2 linked regions of the Drosophila melanogaster genome follow. The protein of the gene in region 1 interacts with the protein of each later gene in a pairwise test. Each region holds a gene or a part of one and is shown in the gene's direction. Other genes may lie near its edges.

Region 1 (4,574 bases):
GCACTAGCGTCTTTATTCTGCTTCTTTGCCTCTGCTTCTCCTACAGGCGCCAACTTTTGATCTTCTTCGTTCATTTTTTCTTTTCTGCTTTCGTCCTCGCTTTCGTTCTCTAGAATTGCTTGTATTTGGTCGGTGTTAAGTTTTTTATTTGTAGGTGGTGTACGTGTGAACATTCCGCGACAAGGCACTAACACCAGCAAACAACGACAATGTTCTAACGGCGCGACGGTAGTCGATTTTGCAGACGGCGCCACCGGTTAAAAGACAAATTTTGATTTTCGTTAGAAACGAATTTCACCACCTTTGCAATTTAATTGTTTTAAATTCCACAACAGCAAAACGACTTGAGTCTGTATGAGTTCAATCGATTTTTTCAACTTTCAATGCAGTAGACGTAGCCATAACTTTACAACTTTAAAGACTAAATCCACGCACACGACAATTTCAACTTTATCAGTTCTCTCTAGCAGCTTTCCCGACTTTTACCGACTTGTGTTCAAACAAAATCTGTACAACTGATTTTTCCAACTTTAAATGCAATAGATATAGCCACAACTTTACAACTTTTAAAGACTATACCCACGCACACAACAATGTCTTTTTTCTTTAAACAACTGCACCTTCATATAACCGATTTAGGACTGGACGAGCCCCCATGTAAGATTGTTTATTATTATTGTTTATTATTAATTTAATTCTAAATGCGGTAATTATATAAAGTATTCTTAGTTTGTGACCGAACGACTGCTGCTGAGAACTCGACTGACTGCAACGCTGACTTCCACTCCACTCCACTGCTGCCTTGCGATCGTTCCTTCGATGACTGATTGTCGATAACTTCGATTTCCGACAATCATGTTGCTGCTCAACAGCGCTGCCAACCGGGTTGTTGCCAGCCTTCAGCCTTACTCCATGTTACATATATGTATATATTTTTATTCTAGCTTTCTGGCATTCTAATCATACGCATTGTTTACTATTGGCACCTAGGATATTTCGCTTATTCTGCTACCACTTAAGATCTTATCTGCAAACCCGTCATCTAGTCTGGGACCTATAGCTCGTAATGGTGGAATCCCTGTCTGAGACTAGCCTACTTAAGTTGAGTAAGGTCTCCTGTCCTTATCTTATCAGCTGCTAATTCGCCCATAATTATAGCTTAACGATCGCCTCGCCATTTGATAAAATAGCAATCTAGTGCCCGGAACTAAGTGATTGTAATTGGCTCTGGCGATTGATATAAAGCACCTGGCTAACTGCCGGCGCTTTATTTAGCCTCTGATAAGAGCAAACGATTCGCACCCGTCATTGTTATTGTTTGTATTTGTACACAACTATTGCTCCCACGAGACTGTGAGTTATTGGATCAGCAATTTAACTGGCTTGGCTTCCCATTCGGCCGTAAAACTGTCAATAAACCATTATGATTGACTACCGCTTATGAGATGAGCATCTTCAGCTGGAAAATTAAGTTACTTCATTTGTTTTCATTTCTAAAACTTCCTCTTCTAGTTTTGGAAGTATATGTATAATTTTTCTAAAAATGTTTGTTTGTTTTTTGTTTTTATTTAATATTAATATTTACCTATGCAAAGTTAAAAAATCTAGGTTTACATATTTTAAATAGTTAAGAATCACATTTATTTAGATGTAGACTAGAGGAATAGTAAGAGTATTGGCTCTTTCGCGCCCTCAAATATGTGGATTCACTTTCGATGCCTCCATATCCAAATCATTCTTATTGAAGAATGCAACATATATGCCTAGAACTCGGTTGCACCACTGCCAGCGGCACGAGGAAAGAATTCAAGTTTCGGAGGAGCCTGTTTGACGATTTGGCTTGTAAACTAGTTTCGCAGCACAATTTTGTTGAAGCTGCTTATTAGCTGGCATTGCCAATTTTTTGAACATGCAGTTCGGTGACTTGAGGTGAACGCATTGGTCGTTGCGCCGCTCAATGACGATAAAATCGTTCAACTTGGTGGTAAAGGGTGAGGAGCTGGTACTTCAATGCGCGTGTCAAGTTCGTTGCAAGAGTCATTTGTTTTCGCAGGTCCCATGTGGGGCGTTCGCCACCTGCAGGTACTGTTCCTCTTTCTGTGCGCCACCTTGATCGTGGCCCAGAGGTTCAACATGAGCGTGGCCATTGTGGCCTTTACGAATGCCAATAGCAGCAACCCAAATTATCCGGAATACCGACTGACAGAGCCTCAGAAGTCGTACACCATCAGCAGTCCCTTCTGGGGCTCCTGCTGCACCCAGATGATGAGTGGATACCTATCGAGTCGCTTTGGAGCCAAGGTGCTGCTGCTGACCATCATGTTGCTCACCGCTCTGCTCAGCATTGCCACGCCCTTCGCCTTGGCCTGGGGCGGCTGGCAGCTGCTCTTCTGGGTGCGATTCGTCCAGGGACTCGCCATGGGCGGCATGTGGCCCTGCCTGTACACCCATCTGGCCAAGTGGTGTCCCAAGAAGGAGGCCAATCGCATGGGCGGCATCATGACCACTGGCTTGGATTGTGGGACAATAATGGGATTCGCTTTGAGTGGCGTACTCTCTGCATCGCCCCTCGGGTGGCCCAGCACATTCTACGTGCCAGGTGAGTTCTATATAGATAATCATTTACTCCTTAGACAGCCCCGGGTAACAGAAACAACTGCGGAACTCTTCTAAAGACACGTTAAACTAGCAGTAAATCCTAATGACACTTTTATAGCTGTATTTATCATTTTACTTACCTACGACATAACTCTAAAGCAAAAACTGATTAAGTATGGTTTAGGCATAGGTTTTAGCTTATATACTATATTAAATAGAACACATATATTTACCAAGTGTTGATTTCAATTTCAGGATACTTAGGCATCGTGTGGTGCCTTACTTTCTTGCGATATGGCGCCAACAGCCCATCCGAATCGAAATTCATTTCTCTGGCGGAACGAAAGCACATTCAATTTGCCCTCGAGCAGAATCAGGTGATTCGCGGTGCAACTCCTCCAGTACCGTGGCTCCAGATCCTCACCTCTCGTCCATTTATCGTCCTGGCGTTTTGCAAAATGAGCCAGGCGTGCAGCTTCTACACGCTGATGCAACAGATTCCGCGCTACATCCACGGTATATTCCACTACAGCATTGCGGCAAATGCCCTGCTCTCAGCTCTGCCCTTTGTGGTCATGCTGATGTCATCCTACGGATTCATTTTCCTGGCTGAATACCTAACCCGTCGTCGAGACATTTCATTGCCTATCCTACGGAAGACCATTAATTCCTTTGCCACATGGACCCCTGCTGTAGCCCTGGTTATCCTATCCTACGTCAGCGATCAGAATGTGGTGGGCAGTATGTTTTGTCTGATTGCAGCCACAGCTGCCATTTCCGGACAGGCCATTGGCAGTTCCCTTAACCACGTGGACTTGTCGCCAAACTTTGCTGGACTCCTGTTTGGGATGAGCAACACACTGATGTCTGCGGCTGGTGTGATATCGCCAATCGTCATTGGGCTGACCGTAACCAAAGAGGTAAGTAATTTGGATAGTTAAGTAAATTGATTAACTTTATTTTATTTCAGTCGGATCGATCGCAATGGCGAACAGTTTTCCTTGGCATTTCGGTGATTCTGTTCCTCGGCAACTTGATGTACCTAATCTTTGGTCAAATGACCGTCCAGTCCTGGAATGATTCCCCATCCAAAGAGACCGAAACAGAAGCATCACCAAAGCCCCAGGCATCGGCTCCCTCAGTTGCCGAGGAAACGATATCCGTCGAGAGATTTAACTATTTGTAAATGTATATTTGTAATAACGTAATCAGTGCTAATGTTGTTGTATAAAAACAGTTTAAAATCACAATGGTATTTATGTCACGTATCTCCTGCTGTGTGGAAATCGGTACGACCGAAATTTGTATCTCTAAGATAATAAACGGAGGAATCGTTGATTAAGGACATCACGATGGACTTGAAGCCCAAAATGGATGCCAGCTTGTATTTGAGAACCACGGACTTGATCAGTCCCACCAGCTGAACCATCGACTCTTCCTGTTTTGAGTTCGTGGCATTACTTTGGATGTGCAGCAAATAACTGAAATAATATAATCATAACAAGGAGGAAGATAAAGTCAGGCCAGCCAAACACATACCCCTTAACAATCTGTTCGATTACATCATCATTGATGCGCTGATGGCACAGATATTCCTGCAGATAATTGACTCCCTGAAGCACAACGAATTGAGACAAGATGGCTTCGCTCCAACTAATATCATAACCATAGGCGCGACTCAGAATCAGAGCTTGAGGTACGCTAGAATAGAAACATAATGACAACCAATTATTTAAATAGTTAGTCCTTTGATGTAAAGCTTTTGCATACCTTAAATGGACGTTGACTAGCTCCCGAAACTGTTCCCTAGAACGCACTCCAATGACGCTGACACACAAATGATTCGCGTTATTGCTGTGCCTTTTTTCGAGTGCTTTGTTGCACAGATCCAGTTGCATGGCCATCAGCTCGGCTCGAGAAACACTTTGCTGGGCGAGCAGAAGCTTGTTATCCAACAAATAGTTCTCCGTTGCATG
Region 2 (7,841 bases), on another chromosome or scaffold:
GTTCGCTCAACATTTCAATCAACGCTCGAGTGAAATGTGAAAAAAAAATCATAATAAAAGCAAGGATAATATGGCAAGCGAGTGGTTTGGCGGATGGGTGGAGCGTTGAAAGTGGTGCCGCCGCCCAAGCGGAAATGGATGCGCATCACAAAAGTGGCACAAATTGTGTGGCATGTGTGAGACGTTGCATGCGGCTATAAAAGAGAGGAAGATATAGTGTCTTTAAATTGTTAAAAGCACGCAACATGTCCCTCGAAAATAACTATAAATTTAATTTTATATTTAATTTATGTAGGAATCAGCATCACTTCAAACTTTCATCGATCAACACAATATCGAAATGCAACTCTGCATTTCAAACATATTATGATCTACCTATTTAAATCACACTTTATTCATCAGCGTACCTTGATCATACTTTTCATTTTCTGATATGCTGAACATTTTCGAAATTCCACATCTTTTGACCGCCCCAACTTGCAACTTATTCGAGGGGCTTCCCCACTGCAACAGCCGCTGTTACACGCTATAAAACCAGGTCCCTTTTCCGAACGGATTGCCATAACAACCGTTAACCGAGTTGTATTCAAAATCTCGAGCTGAGTCGAGTCCAAACAAAAATTAAAAAAAAAAAAGGTGGAAGGGAAATGCGACGACCAGAACCAAATCCAAAGTGTAAACATTCACAGCCTCCGTTGGGTGAGGGAAAAATGGATTTGGTGTGGGTTTTTGGTGGGTGATGGCGGGGAATGCTAGACAATGCCGAATGCCAAACGCCCATACCCAAACTCCCTGGACAGAAACAGCTTCCTTCCGTGCTGACGTTTGATGTGCAGCCATGGGAGCTTTTCTTTTTTTTTTTTTTTTTAATACTGCGAGTGGGTGGCAAACACGCAACCAACGTGTGGCAACAGCTAACAACTAGTGCAAAAAAGGACGAGCCAAAAAATGCGGTATTTATTTCAAACAAGCTCAGCCCAGCAAACTGCAAAAAAAGCTACACGAGTTTTTCAAAGCTATTGCTCTGGATTCAGATTCCATTGCCGATGGCAAGTTGCAAAGATGCACAGCCGAAAAATGCTATAGCCACTGTTAAATGTTTAAATAAAATCCACATACCTTCATCATAATTATTTATGATTATTTAAGTCTTAGCACTGAGTACTAGAACAAACAAGTAACTACACACAACTATACCAATAACAGTGAAATTTTTCCAGTGATCTTCGTACACAGACACACGATGCAATTGCTTGGCAACAGCTTGTGGGGAGGTGTCGCTAATGAAGTCGCAAACAGTCGGTGGCAGCAAAAAATTAAGCAAAGAAAGCAACGCAACGCTCTACATATCCAACCGCATCCGCATGCCTTCATTGTAATAGAAATTATAAGCTTATCCTGCTCAAACCGGCCCATCACCCACCTACTCCCGCAGTTGAGCTGTCGTTTTAGCAACACGTTGCCCGTAGCCAAGGACTGCATCCATTGTTCCACTGGCAACATCCGCCAGAGATTGGTAATTGAAACCGGGGAACGTTGCCCGAGAAATGTGGAAAAAAAAAGTTCCATCACAGTAATAAATATAACACTTATTCTTGAATTTAATTCTTAGAATTTTGATTTATGATAATGCATGATATGATAATGCTTTGTGTTCCGAAGCACATAAGCCCCAGGTTGGGCGCCAAATAAGCAGTTCATTACCTAAACAAAACCATTTTAAGAAGGTCTCTTTACTTCCGTTTCCCAGTCGATCTTTAACGTGTAAAATTTGGCAAGACTGCACCAACCGGAAGCGATCAACCCATAGACCAATGAGCTTACGTCTCGCTCTAGTTTTGGTCGTCTTTTTGAAAACTTTTTACCTTTCTTCGAGGGTGGTTTCCATGAACACTTTAGCACTGTTGCTGCTGGTGATGTTGCTACTGCTACTGCCACAGTCGATGTTGCTGCTGCTGATGCGCACCACCAATGCCACAGCGACTGTGGCGCACCACCACCCACCTAGCAGCTCTGCTGGCGCTCTGCTTACGCCTCGTTTCATTTACAACAATTCATAATTTTAAAATCGCACCGAACTCGCCTCGTTCTGGTTCTGGTACTCGGTCTCTGTTTTTCTGTTTCTGTCTCGGCCTCAGGACTCGTTGGATGCTGCTCTGCTTTCCTGCTGTTGCCGCTGCTGGCACTCATTTCATTTGATTTTTAACTGTCATCGACGGCAGTTCAGACCGCTAGCAACGCGTTACCCAAGCAGTGCTTATATTATTTTATATATTTTTTTTAAGTGAAATAAGTTTTAAACAAATATATCTATCAATATAGTAATCATAGGTGAGAAAATTGATCAGCTCGCAAGATCGGATTTGAATGTGTTAAAAAAACGCGTCTATAAAAAATATTATTGTGAAAATGCAATCAATGATTATATTCCAACTTAAGAACTCCTCTTTTAATAAAACACAATTTGGACATTCTTAATAATTAACCTGATATTTTAATAAGGTTAATAATAAGCTAATAAAATCTTATATATAAGCTTCATAAGGCATTCGTTTACAATTAAACTTTTCGATCAAAGCCTAACAAACCCAAGAACTTTACTAATCTTTCTTGAAACATTTAATCCAAATGATTAGAATAAAACCAAAAATACTTTATGCACTTCAGTCAGTCTATGAACCGAAACAATCCAAGCTAAACTTCAAATTTTCATTGGAGAAATTATTTAGCCATAATTCAAACGCATCCAGGGGTTGCACTTTACTTCAACCCTTTGCAAAATCCCAGATCAATCTACACGAAGAACCTGTCAGAAAGGGTTCAACGCAAATTCGATTTTGAAAAACGTTGTGATGCATGCGTATCTCTGGCAGCGGGCAAAGTTGCAAATGAAATTTTGTCAAATTTTCAGGCAACCCAAACGGACACGAATACGGACAACATACACGGGACAGAGTTCCCCGGATGCGGGGCAGGGGTAACTGTCTGCTGTAGCCGACACACATGGACAGAAAGCCACAAGTGGCACATTATTTTAATTCGCAGTCAAACGCTGTAACGTTAACACCACAACGCCATGTCACCAACAAACCAACAAGTTCATTTGTCCCCATATGTGCGTGGATATGAGCGGGGTGGCTTAAACACAGGGCAGGAACAGGCAGGACGCTTAACGAGCAAGGGTTAAAAATGTTATTTATTAGTCATTTGAGCGATCTAGTTTGGTCATAAAAAAATTTTTTATATTTAAAATTATTAGCTAATTTCAGATTTACATTCTTAGGCAGCTACATATTTTCCAATTCTTCATCCTTTGAAACTATTTAACTAACCCGATAACAATCCACTGTTCATAAAGCCCCACATTGGGCGCCAATTACACGATACATCACGCTTTACAAAGATTACAACCGCGCCTGAATGGCACAAAATGCGAACATAGACTTCGTTCAGGGTTGCACACCAGGTGAGCACGAGGAGGGTTGCTAACCAACTCCATGGGTGGGAAGATGAACTCCAGAGTGATTTCGGAATGAAGTGGCATGGGCAACTTATCGCTGTTTGATATGCAGTAATTATGTTATAAGGTTGCCCAGCCCAAGTGCCAGTTAAGTGTACGCTTACAGGGGTTGCCCGCAATCCCAATCGGCTCTTCTATTTTCCGGTGGTGGCTTAAATTTAACATCGATGATGCGACATCAATCAGCTGGGCAGCCTTGAGTGGGTGGATCACCACCCAAGGGGAATCCAGTGGAGGGATTACTTTCTACTCTGGTTTTAATTGCCACGCTGTTTGAGAAGGGGAAAAAAAAAGAATTTCGCAAAAGTTAGTACTCAGCTTATCCCCAGACGAAAGACAAACAAAAGTCGGATGCACTTTGCGCATTAATCTCAGCTCCATATTTTTAGTTCTCGGACTTATTCTCAGCTGCAAAACTTATGCACAAACTTGGGCATGGGCCATAAAAGAAAGTTGGCCGACAGCTGCTGATTGAATATTAAAATGCTGCCAGTTGCTCCAGAGCCACCACAGCCATAACCAATTTAAAAATGAGAAGAGAAACTGGCAATTAAAGCTCTGCCCAGCATCAATCAGTGCCGGGGAAAATCAACGGAATTTCCACCGAGTACCAGATGCCGGGTTGGCCACGCCTATCACCGCCCACAACCACCGCGCCTTAATTAGCATAATCTAATTTTAACTTTGTCGCAAAAATGTCGCCCTAACCAACATTTTTACCTCTCACGAACAACGGCTGCCAAAAAATGCAAATCAACACCCGTCCGTTTGAAAATCTCCGCCTCCGAAACCCCCAATCATATATTCCTTTTGCGACGGTTGAAAACTTTATATATTTTTACAACGAAATGAAAAAACAATATAAAAATAAAAAATTCCACAAATCCAACATGGAATAACGGAAAAAACAGAAGGAATGCAAATGAATGTTCCAAGCAATCGTATAGAAGCTGATGATACCTAAAAATGCAATATATTCTATAATGAATAATTGCAAATTATGTTTTTCGTTTTCGAAAAAACCATAGAAACCATAGAAGGAAAAAATCATGAAGGATTAATTCAAAGTTCACAAACTAAGTAATGCCTTCAAATTGTTCAATTTGTGTACTCCTTGATATTACTTTCGTTTTATTATAGGGTATTCGGTAACAGGCGTCGTCTGTGGGTTGTTAAAAACTTTTTAAATGCGAAAATGAAAGAGCAACAAGGCAATGGAGTCGTGGAAATGGGGGGGGGGGGTCCTTCAATGCGTGATTCTGTACTGTTCCTGGTTAGAATTGACAGGCACACAGGCGGCACAGGATACAAGCAGCCAGGACACAGCGTCAAGTGCCTCAACAGTTTGGCAACACAACAATTGAGTTTGTCCTCCAACGTTCGCGGAAATGGAGGCGGCAATGAGGGTGGTTGGGTGTCACTGCTGTTGAAACATTTAATTTACTGGAATTTGGCGCGATGTGTGTAAGCTTATTAACAGCTTTTAAGGGATCAGCGGGGAGTTGGAGACGGAAAAAAAATTATGGGGATAACGGAGAGTGAGGGAACTTGCGCGCCTGTTTTTCTATGCAAATTTCATTTGTTTTTTGGGTGCTGGGCACAGATGTTGGCTTAATAAAGTTATAATAAAGGTAGCTTAGCTGACGGCAGCTGTGGAACAATGGATTTGATGCACATGGCAGTTATGCTATTACAATTATACGAATACAGGACTCTAAAGGTTGCGGGCTTGATGCTTAATGCTTGAACTGATTTCTAATCTACTTTTCTATCAATTACATTCCATTTGCTAACATCTTGGATTTTCAGTCAATCTTAAGACGCTTTCAAGTTCAACACCAAGTCCCTTCAGTCATTATTTAGACTTCCTTGCCAACCGAGAAAACTCACACACATTTATACATCGAGACAGATTCACTCGGAGCAAACAGAAAATTCAGATTTAATTGTCCCGTGGGTAATGGTTGGGCGGGAGCATGGAAAAGGCGGTGGAATGCCAGTCCAAGACAATGCAAATATATATCCCTATACAAATATAAATTTCAAGTGACTTCAGCCACAGAACTGAGCCAACGTCTTTTGTGTGTTCTTAACTTTTTTTCTCCAACAGCAGCAGCAATGAAGGACAGCAGTAACAGCATCTCGTCGAGCAACACAGCAGGGATGCCATGCTCAACGGGAGGAGCAGTAGCGTCAGCAGGGGTAACCACCAGCAATGCCACGCCCAGTGCGCCTAGTACGCCCACAACAGCAGCAGCAGCAGCAGCAGCAGCGGCGGCAGCAGCATCTGCTGCAGATCCAACCGCAACGAATCCGCAAAATCCGCAGCAACGCAGCAAGAGCAACATCCATGAGCTAAGAAATCAGGACTACGTCAGTCGTTTAATGGCAGCCACACCACCGTATTTGTATTCCGCACCCGTGGGACCAAATAATTTCTTTTTCAGCGATATGCTGCGTTCCTTGGTGCAAGCGCGAAATAATGAGACGGCGCGTGTCTTGCAGCTGCAGCAGCAACAGCAGCAGCAGCAGCAGCAGGCACAGCAACAACAGCAGCAGCAACATCAGGCCGCCTTGGTGAGGCGGCCAAGAAAACGCTCCTGGTCGCATCGTCCATACTACGAGCAATTGCGGGAGCGACGCGATGCAGAGGAGAAGCAGCAGCAACACCAGCAGCAGCAGCAGCAGCAGCAGCAACATCAACAGCATCAGCAGCAGCAACATCAGCAACTTCAGCAGCAACTGGTGCCGGAGAAACCTCTAGAGCTGACCAATAAGGCAATGACACCCTATGGCTATGCCAAAATGGAAACCAAACCAGGTGCTATGGGTATAACACCGCCAACGCCAACGACGGCACCACCAACGGCTGGCAATAAGACTGGTGGTCTGGGTGGTGCCGTCGACACTAACCTGCAGGACAATACACCGCCGGCGGCATCGTTGCCACCACAGGATTTGGTCCTGCCGCCACCACCACCGGTTTGGTATCCACCACTTTATGCACCCTACGGCATCGATCCGTTGCACTTCTTCATCGATCTTCGCGTTTCCGGACATATATACGATAGAAAGAAGGAGAATGTCTCACCGCTTTCGAGTAGCAATAATGCACTTGCCGAAGAAGGTTCACCCGGCTCGTGTTCCAGCTCGGGCGCCACTTCCGCTTCCGGTTTGGCCAGTAATTTGCTGAGCAAACAGCGTCATGGCTCCGCCTTCACTGTACCCATACCCAAGGCGGCCCAAAACGATGCCATCAATCTGTGCGCCAATGCGGCAGGATCAAACGCCGGCGGTGGTGGTGCAGTGACCACCAGCACATTGGGCAACAAATTCGAGCACTATGCCAAATACTATGATCTGGGCGAGACTAAGGAAAATCAACCGTCCAGTACGGCTGCTAATCTTTCGGCAGCCGCTGCTGCCGCTGCTGCAGCTGCAAACTTATCGAAATCGGGCGCCAGCTATATGTTGCAACATCTGCCACGCCTTTACAGTCAGTTTGCCGCCCATCAGGCGCAGGTGCAGAGTCAGGATATCGATGCCAAGTCGGAATCGGCATCGGTTAGTGCCTCACTTTCGGCACCCGATCTTTGCGATGAAGATTCACTGGAACGAAATTCCAGTGATACGGGTGCCGGTTTGGAGGGAACGAGCGGCAATCAGGGCAATTGTGACATCGATGTGGAGATCATTGACTCCATCAAGTATCGCACGGATGGCGAGAGCAGTCGATGTTCCAGCAATGACGAGGCTTCCATCACGCAAATCGATTGAGGCTACTTATTTAAATAATACGAATAAAGTTAATGTGTCCATAATATGATCATTGTTTATTTCATTTTCTACAGAAATTGGTGGTTTTGAGAAGGTAAGTAACTTGAAGAATAAGAAGAAACAGTTACGCGCTCAATAAATGCTTATACAACAAAATGATAGAGATCTATCAAATCAACGTTTCTTTGCAAATAAACATGACAGCTTGTAACTGAAACTGTGGCCCAAGTTGAAGTTTCCCTGCCCCTAGAAATATGCAACGGTAAAAGTAATTTCATAAATCATTTCACGCCGTCGTCGTCGCCTGTTGGTTCATCTTCCACGTATTTGCTGCCTTAAGGCATTTTTTAAATGTCGTTGCACGAATTGTCGAGCTTCAGGCCCACCAACGTTGGGCGCCACATAAAAAAGGAGCCTTCATCATACCGCCACCGAGCATTACACGCCTGACTACGCTTTGTGTAAATTAAAACTGCTGCCGGCTGCTGCTGCTGACGATGACAATGCCACCCAATTCCCGCCACAGTTCTCTTGCATTCCTCGT

Evidence for each region.
Region 2: the proteins of CG3649 (region 1) and CG15478 interact in a two-hybrid assay, tested with the Drosophila melanogaster proteins (one large-scale study listed by BioGRID).

What each region holds. Positions count from the first base shown.
Region 1 is NT_033778.4:22,844,060-22,848,633, forward strand, and holds CG3649 (uncharacterized protein), read left to right. Parts: upstream 1-1,917; 5' UTR 1,918-1,957; coding exon 1,958-1,991; intron 1,992-2,053; coding exon 2,054-2,599; intron 2,600-2,853; coding exon 2,854-3,518; intron 3,519-3,568; coding exon 3,569-3,784; 3' UTR 3,785-3,852; downstream 3,853-4,574. Other genes in the region: CG13531 (uncharacterized protein), read right to left, coding at 3,860-4,079, 4,138-4,299, 4,369-4,574.
Region 2 is NC_004354.4:7,712,281-7,720,121, reverse strand, and holds CG15478 (uncharacterized protein), read left to right. Parts: upstream 1-2,189; 5' UTR 2,190-2,331; intron 2,332-5,005; exon of another isoform or gene 5,006-5,151; intron 5,152-5,630; 5' UTR 5,631-5,638; coding exon 5,639-7,297; 3' UTR 7,298-7,339; downstream 7,340-7,841.